Linked DNA regions of Sus scrofa. The protein of the gene in region 1 binds, or shares a complex with, the protein of each later gene. Links are inferred from orthologs where the notes say so. Each region holds a gene or a part of one and is shown in the gene's direction. Other genes may lie near its edges. The genes, in order: CSF3R and CSF3.

Region 1 (3,803 bases):
TCGGCCTGCAAGCGCTGATTGTATATGTCATCTCTTTCCAAGTTCACATTCAGTGATGTCACACACTGGTAGCCTGAAATTAACCACGGTGGGAATATTTACACCAGAGAAAGCAGCCCATGCTACAAACCCAGATCTGTTTCTCTCTGTGTAGCCAGTTGATAAACATCTACCCACACAGCTCAATCTCACCCCTGAGAGCCTCTCACAGTCCCCGTACACATCCTCCGCACTCCAGTTCCCACATCCTGGGGGGTAAAGCAGGACGGCAAAGGCACTGAGTCTAAGAGGACTGGGTCTAGGAGCCCAGCTCTAGCAGGCAGAGGCGTCACTTATGGCCGATTCTCTTCTCCCCCAGGCCTGGAGGAGTGCGGGTACATCAGCCTCCCAGCCCCCATCATCCGCCTAGGGGATCCCATCACAGTGTCCTGCATCATCAACCAGAACTGCACCAGTCTTGGCCCAGAGTCACAGATTCGATGGAAACTGGACACAGAGCTTCAGCCTGGGGGGAGGCAGCAGCACCTGCCGAATGGGACCCTGCAGTCCACCATCACCTTCCCCCATTTCAACTACTCTCGGGCCCTTCTCTCCTGCTGCCTGCACTGGGGCAACGGTCTGCAGATCCTGGACCAGGCAGAGCTGCAGGCAGGCTGTAAGTCCCTGCAGCCATCCACCCACTCTGCCTCCAATGCCTTCCTGCCAATACTAATAAGAACTATTCTTACGTGCGCTCTGGCTCAATACACACTTTACAGGCAAGATATCACGTGCCTACCAGTGGGGAGTGTTATTGAGCCCCATTTCACAGATGAGAAAACTGAGGCTCAGCAAGGGGGTGTGACATGCTAAAGGTCACAAACCAATAAGGATGGGGCCAAGATTTATATCACGCACGCATTGTGGCTCAAAAGCCAGTAGAGTAACTGCTGCTTTACATGGCTGCCGAGTAAGCCCAACTCTCCAACTGCAGGACAGTGTATCTAGGGAGGCCTTTCTCTATGAGCTGGGCTTGCTCTCAGCTTCCCCACTACCACAGATGCAGCCTTCTTCTCAAACTGAGAAGGATGGATTTGTGCCAAGCCAAATCCTTTCTTTAAAGACAAAGAAAGACCAAGATTCTTAGTTAAGAATCAATAACAGTAAGTGCTAACACTTACAGAGCACTCGCTGCAAGCCAGGCACTGCTCTGAGCACTGCATACATAGTAAGTCCTTCAACCCTCACAACAACCCTAAGCGGTAGGTATATTAGCATAACCTCTATTTTATAGATGAGGAAACTGAGGCACAGAGCAGTTAAGGGACTTCAAGATCATACAGCTAATGAATGGCAGAACCAGGATGAGAACCCAGATGCCACACTCTTACTGTCAAAAGGAGCGGAGTTAAGAGGGTTGGTAGCCCCATGGTCCTTGTCCCTGTACATGCCTGGAACTTAGTTTCCCCCAGGGCTGGCCCTCTGGGGTCACCCTGCGTGGAGTGATCCCAGAGAGAATGACCCAGAGCAAGGAAACGAGGCCAACTGGTCCCAGTGGGCGCTTCCTGAATGGTCTTTCCTGAAGCCCTCTCTCTCCTCACCCTCCACACAGACCCTCCCCCCCCACCCTACAACCTGTCCTGCCTCCTGAACCTCACAACCAACAGCCTCAAGTGCCAGTGGGAGCCAGGCCCCGACACCCACCTCTCCACCCACTTCACCCTGAAGAGCTTCAAGTAAGTAAGGGTCTCTACTCCAGCCCCGGTCCTTTGGGTCCTGGGACAGAGCATGGGTTGGACTGAGGGGGTGGGAAGCCAGAGGAATCGATGGGAGAGACGGAAGAGCCTGGCTTTCCTCCTTTGCTTGACACCCAAGCTCACCCTGTTGGCAGGAGCCGAGGCAACTTCCAGACCCAGGAGGATTCCATCCCTGACTGCGTGCCTGAGGATGGGCAAAACCACTGCTCCATCCCCCGCAAGCATCTGCAGCTATACCAAAATATGAGCATCTGGGTGCAGGCTAAGAACGCGCTGGGGACCAGCACATCCCCAAAGCTGTGCCTTGTTCCCATGGACATGGGTAGGTGACGCAGGGTGTGGGGGAGGGGAGAGGCCCCCACAATGTGGGCAGACCCAGAGAGGTACAGGGAGGGAAACAGGCCCAGGGACAGTCAAACAGATGCTGGAAGACCTAGAGGGAGAGGAAGAGAAGAGACAAAAACACAGTGCAGTTGAAGACAGAGTTATAGCGACACAGACATGGACACGGAAGAAACACGGCAAGGAGACACACTTTTTAATTCTTTCAGTAAATTTCCTGCAGTACTCATGATGTGCTAGGCACACGGCAATAAACAACACAGCACAAATCTTGCCCCCGGTTGGAGTTCCTGATGTGGCGCAGTGGTTAACGAATCTGACTAGGAACCATGAGGTTGCAGGTTCGATCCCTGGCCTTGCTCAGTGGGCTAAGGATCCGGCGGTGTGGGTCGCAGATGCGTCTCGGATCCCACGTTGCTGTGGCTCTGGTGTAGGCCGGTGGCTATAGCTCCGATTGGACCCCTAGCCTGGGAACCTCCATAGGCTGCGGGAAGTGGCCTTAGAAAAAGGCAAAAAGAAAAAAAAATCTTGCCCCCGAAATGCTACATTCTAGTGGGCAAAATAAAATAGAATGTGAGGTAATGGTGAGTGTGATGAGGAAGTTAAGCAGGGGTGGGACAGGGGGAGCTGGAGAGGGAGGGCAGTTGCTATTATTCCAGGAAGTGGTCAGGAAGGGAAGGCCTCATGGAGAAAGTGATATTTGAGAAGATCCTTGAAAGAAATGAGGGAGCGAGCCACTGGGTATCTGGAGGGAACAACCAGTGCAAAGGCCCTGGGGCAAGAGTATGAAACAGGGAGGGAAACAGACACATGCGCAGAGACAGACCTGAAGAAACAGGGTGACACAGAGATGAAGAGACACTGAGAGACAGAAGGATACAGAAATCCCATGAATGGAGACCCAGGGAGGAAAATAAAACCCCAGGCAAGGAGACAACCGGAAGCTGAGGCAGAGCCCTGGATGGAGCAGGGCAAGCGTCTGACAACCCCTCTCCCTGCAGTGAAACTGGAGCCTCCCACCCTGTGGGCCCTGGAGCCCAGCCCTGAGGTGGCCCCACCGCAGCCTGGCTGCTTGAGGTTGCGCTGGGAGACATGGAAGCCAAGCCTGCACATAGAGCAGAAGTGTGAGCTGCGCCACCAGCCACAGCGTGGAGAATCCAGCTGGGACCTGGTGAGGCGGAGGGCAAGCTCAGGAGCCTGGAGTGGGGGGGGCGTGGGGAGAGGGGAGGTTGAGGTGACCCTCAAGAGCACAGGGATCCAGGCTCAGAGCCACGCCCCCCACCAGGTGGGTGCCCTGCCCTCCAGGTCCCTCCAGTATGAGCTCTGCGGGCTCCTCCCATCCACAGCCTACACACTGCAGATGCGCTGTACCCGCTGGCCCCTGCCCGGCCGCTGGAGTGACTGGAGCCCCCGCCTGGAGCTGACCACGGCACAGCAGCGTAAGTGGGTGCGGAGGGGATTGGAGCAGCCATGGGGACCCAGCCCAGCCTCCAGGGCCCTCCCTGACCCTCTCTTCTTTTTTCAATTTTTTTGTTTGTTTGTTTTTTGGCTGCACCCACGGGATGTGGAAGTTCCTGGGCTAGGGATCAAATCCAAGCAACAACTGCGACCCACGCTGGATCCTTAACCCACTCTGCTAGGCCAGGGATCAAACCCCAAGCCTCCTCAGAGACAACACTGGATTCTTTGTCTTTTTTTTAGGGCCGCACCCACAGCATATGTAAG
Region 2 (4,073 bases), on another chromosome or scaffold:
ACCCTTCTCTGCTCAGGACAGCACCCATACTCTGGCTGGCAGTGAACCTGGCCAGGGAAGCCCCATATCCCAGATCCTCAAGCCCCAAAGCACTAGGACATTGTCGGGGGAGGGGTAGTGCGGGGGGAGGAGGAGGAAGGGCAAGGTCAGGTGAACTAAGAGGCTCGAAGGGTCTTGCTTCATCAGGACAGTCATCCGGTTTCCTCCAGTCTCTGCCAGGATTCCGGGGGCTTAAAGGAATGAGTCATGGGGGGGATTGGGGAGTTCCCAGCTACCCAGTTCAGAACAGGAACCTGGGATGGTGCCTATCACAGTGTGGGCTGGGGACAGGAGGCAAGACCCCCATGTCCTTATCTCAGGCTCCAGCCCCTCCGAAGGGCACTCAGGGAGGCAGGTGCCTGGGAATTTGGGGGATAGAAACGGGAGCACCTAGCTTCTTCCTTCTCAGAGCTGGGGCTGAGGGAGCAGGTGGCTTGAGAATCCCAAGAGAGAGTGGCAAAGGGGGCTTCATGGGGACATGTGCCGGGGAGGGAGGGAGGCCTGCCTCTGCCCTGAGTTCTGACCTTACTCCAGCCCCCAAGGCCTCTATCACTGGCTCAGCTTTTGTTTAGCGGTTCAAACACCCTGGGGCAATGCAGGCCTGGGTGGGGCTAGGGGAGGAAGGGAGTCCGAGGGGGACCAGACGTCAAAGAAGAATCAGAGATTCCACAATTTCACAAAACTTTCGCAAACAGTTTTTTTTTTTTGTTTTGCCCCAACCGCCCTGCATTGTCCTGGACAACAAATTTGCATAAGTCTTGGGAAGTTATTACTAAGCCTTAGTCGCGGCACCAGGTAATTTCCTCCCAGGCCTCCATGGGCTTATGTATAAAGGCCCCCAGATCTGGTCCCTGACAGAACCCAGAACCTACAGACCCACCCAGACCCTCGGCTGAGCCTGCTGCCCAGAGCCCCATGAAGCTGATGGGTGAGTGTCCGGGGCCCTGGACGTGGGGAGGGGCAGAGGGGCAGAGGACTGGGGGTCCCTAGGATCCTGGAAAGGGACTCAGGTGGAGTGGACGGCACGTTCCCTGAGCCCCTGTCTGCTCCCAGCCCTGCAGCTGCTGCTCTGGCACATTGCACTCTGGATGGTGCCCGAAGCCGCCCCTCTCAGCCCTGCCAGCTCCCTGCCCCAGAGCTTCCTGCTCAAGTGCTTAGAGCAAGTGAGGAAAATCCAGGCTGATGGCGCCGAGCTGCAGGAGAGGCTGGTGAGTGAGGGAGGCCGGCAGCGGAGGGTCAGGGAGGGGACAGAGGTGCTGCAGGAGGGGGCACAGAGGAGAGGTTGGGGGAGAAGGAGGCGAAGGGACCCTTGGGAAAGAATGCCTCCAGATTGGGAGAGGAGAGACTGGGGGTAATGGACTGGCAAGGAGAGGTGGAGCCCTGGGCACTGGCACAGAGCTGGGGGCGGGGGAGAACTTCTTGGGGACAGTGCTGGGAGGGGCTGGCTGCGGAGTGGACGGAGGAAGGGGAGCAAGAAGCCTGGTGGGAGGTGGAAGGAGGAAAAGACCTCAGAGAGATGGGGGCGCTCGGAAGGGAGGACAGCCCAGCCCTGTCAGCCCCCCTCACTCGGCATCCTTCCCGCCCCCAGTGTGCCACCCACAAGCTGTGCCACCCCCAGGAGCTGGTGCTGCTCGGGCACTCTCTGGGCCTCCCCCAGGCTTCCCTGAGCAGCTGCTCCAGCCAGGCCCTGCAGCTGGTGAGTTCCGGAGGGGAGAAGGGAGGTGAGGGGGTAGGAAAGGTGATCTGGAAGGAACACCCCCTGACTCCTCCCCATCCCCCCAGACTGGCTGCCTGAACCAACTGCATGGCGGCCTCGTCCTCTACCAGGGCCTCCTGCAGGCCCTGGCGGGCATCTCCCCAGAGCTGGCCCCCGCCCTGGACATACTGCAGCTGGATGTCACCGACTTAGCCACCAACATCTGGCTGCAGGTGAGTCTCTCTGGGAGCAGCAAGCATTGGGGGCCTGGACCCAGATGGTCTTCAAAGGCCGTGCTGCCAGCCCGGGGATCCCGGGGTTCTTTAGGGCTGGGGCAGGAGCCTTGCAGGGCTGGGAGGGGCAGGGGGCGTTGGAGGTATGGAGCTACCAGCCCATCCCAGGACCCTCCCCCATTTCCCCTAGTTGGGGGTGTGAATCAGTTCACAGGACCTTGAAACAGTCCTGGGTTCTGGTCCTGGCTTCACCACTAACCCTGACCTTCCACGGCCCACCAGCCCTTCCTTCTCGCAGTGGTAATGCCCACTCGGCAGGGTCTGACGGCTGCTCTCATCTTCCCCCACAGATGGAAGACCTGAGGATGGCCCCGGCCTCGCTTCCCACCCAGGGCACCGTGCCGACCTTCACCTCGGCCTTCCAGCGCCGGGCAGGAGGGGTCCTGGTTGTCTCCCAGCTGCAGAGCTTCCTGGAGCTGGCGTACCGTGTCCTGCGCTACCTCGCCGAGCCCTGAGCAGAGCCCTCCCCTTCCAGTGTATTTATCTCTATTTAATATTTATGCCTATTTAAACCTCATATTTAAAGCCCGGGGGGGGGGGGACAGAAAGGAGTCCCAGTCTCCTGGGTCCTTCCCTTCTCCTCCAAGTTTCATTCTCCCGCCTGTAGCAGGGAGAAAAATGCCCATCTTCCCGTCCCCTGGACTGGGAGGTAGTTGGTAAATACCAAGTATTACATCCGGTGACTGCTCCCTGCCTGGCTCCGCGGTGGGCACTGAGTGAACCCCTACCCTAAGGGTGCCCACCTGGGGCCTTGGAAGCATTGGGAAGTCTCCCACGTGGGAGACAAGACAGCCCTGTTTAATATTTAAACAGCAGTGTTCCCCGACTGGGTCCTAGTACCCCTTCCTCTTGGCCCCTGCTGCCTCCCCGCGCCCCCTTCGCCCCCTTCGCGATGGGCTTCCTGGCAGAGGCAGCTGGAGCTGGGACGGACTGGGACACTTGACCCTGGGGAATCTCATTCTCCTTCTTAAGATTTTTTCTTTCTGAACGTTTTGACCCCTCGTGTGGGGAGCCCAGGCATCAGCGCCGCCTCTTGTTTTTCTGGACGCGCTATAGACACCATCAGGCTCATAACACCGCCCCACCCTGCCGGGGTCGGGATCCGGACTCCCTTTAGGGCCGGGCAGACGGTCATGGGTCATGTCTCTGCCTTGCTGGACGGGACTGGGACGGTGGGAGGGAAGAGCCGCCGAGGGGTGTGAGAGGGACGCTCGGCTGTTCACCTTCCGCCTCTGCCCCCACTTTCTCGCTGGAGCCAAACTTCACGATAATAAAGTGTTTGTCTCAGTAAATGTCCTTCCTCCTTCTTGAGTCCAGCTGGGGCCTGGCCAGGGGGTGCGGGCAGGAGCTGGATGGCGGGCGAGGCCGGGGCGGGGTGGGGGAAGAGGGGGTGCGGGGAGGCCGCCTGGGCAGTCATTCCACGGGCAGGTCTTCATTGCGCACCTACTGGGTGCAGAGGGGGTGCAGACACTGGGTGCGTGGCAGGGAACAGGCAGGCGTGGTCCCTGCCCTCATGCAGCCACAGCCTAGTGGGGAGGACAGAAGGCAGACGGGTCACCGGTACCAGGAGAGGAGAGAGTGGGGGCGGGGGCCAGGAGGGCCCGAGTCCAGACACAGATGGACGCTGGCCCGAAGCGGGGGAGGATTTGCCGTCTGCACGGGGCTTTGTCAGGCGACCACCTCTCATAAACCACCTCCCATCCACGCTCCTGGCTGCCCACAAAGATAAACTTGCGAGGGGCCTTTTGCGGATTAGGAAGCTGAGGTCAAAGTGACAGCGTGGGTCAGACCCCAAGTTCTAGGCTCTGCATGTCCCTCCCTTCGTCCAGCTCTGCCTCCCATCTGGCAGGGAGCCTGCCACCTTCCTGCCCTTCTCGGGCCTCATGGGCTGAAGAGGCCTGAGCCCCCATCCAGGGAGACCGGAGTGGCCGCTGCACAGCACAGGGTCCAGGCAAGGCTTTCTGTGCCTTCAGTGGGAGACGCACGTGTGCTTCCTGGGTGCCCCCACCAGACCCAGGAGACATCCAGACAACCCATGTGTCCCC

Evidence for each region.
Region 2: the proteins of CSF3R (region 1) and CSF3 are in contact, whole or in part, in a crystal structure (PDB 2D9Q), measured with the Homo sapiens proteins. The link is inferred for Sus scrofa from reciprocal best matches to the Homo sapiens genes CSF3R and CSF3. Residues at the interface, in NP_000751.1 of Homo sapiens: Arg164, Arg190, Lys191, Leu193, Leu194, Leu195, Tyr196, Gln197, Asp220, Met222, His261, Ile262, Asn263, Arg311, Pro313, Leu314; in NP_000750.1 of Homo sapiens: Ser42, Leu45, Lys46, Glu49, Gln50, Arg52, Lys53, Leu141, Asp142, Asp145, Thr148, Thr149, Gln152.

The regions. Positions count from the first base shown.
Region 1 is NC_010448.4:92,555,746-92,559,548, reverse strand, and holds part of CSF3R (granulocyte colony-stimulating factor receptor), read left to right. Parts: intron 1-358; coding exon 359-655; intron 656-1,591; coding exon 1,592-1,715; intron 1,716-1,870; coding exon 1,871-2,058; intron 2,059-3,079; coding exon 3,080-3,249; intron 3,250-3,363; coding exon 3,364-3,517; intron 3,518-3,803. UniProt on the Homo sapiens protein: Receptor for granulocyte colony-stimulating factor (CSF3), essential for granulocytic maturation. Plays a crucial role in the proliferation, differentiation and survival of cells along the neutrophilic lineage.
Region 2 is NC_010454.4:22,332,692-22,336,764, reverse strand, and holds CSF3 (granulocyte colony-stimulating factor), read left to right. Parts: upstream 1-1,280; 5' UTR 1,281-1,393; coding exon 1,394-1,735; intron 1,736-1,821; coding exon 1,822-1,968; intron 1,969-2,318; coding exon 2,319-2,483; 3' UTR 2,484-3,320; downstream 3,321-4,073. UniProt on the Homo sapiens protein: Granulocyte/macrophage colony-stimulating factors are cytokines that act in hematopoiesis by controlling the production, differentiation, and function of 2 related white cell populations of the blood, the granulocytes and the monocytes-macrophages.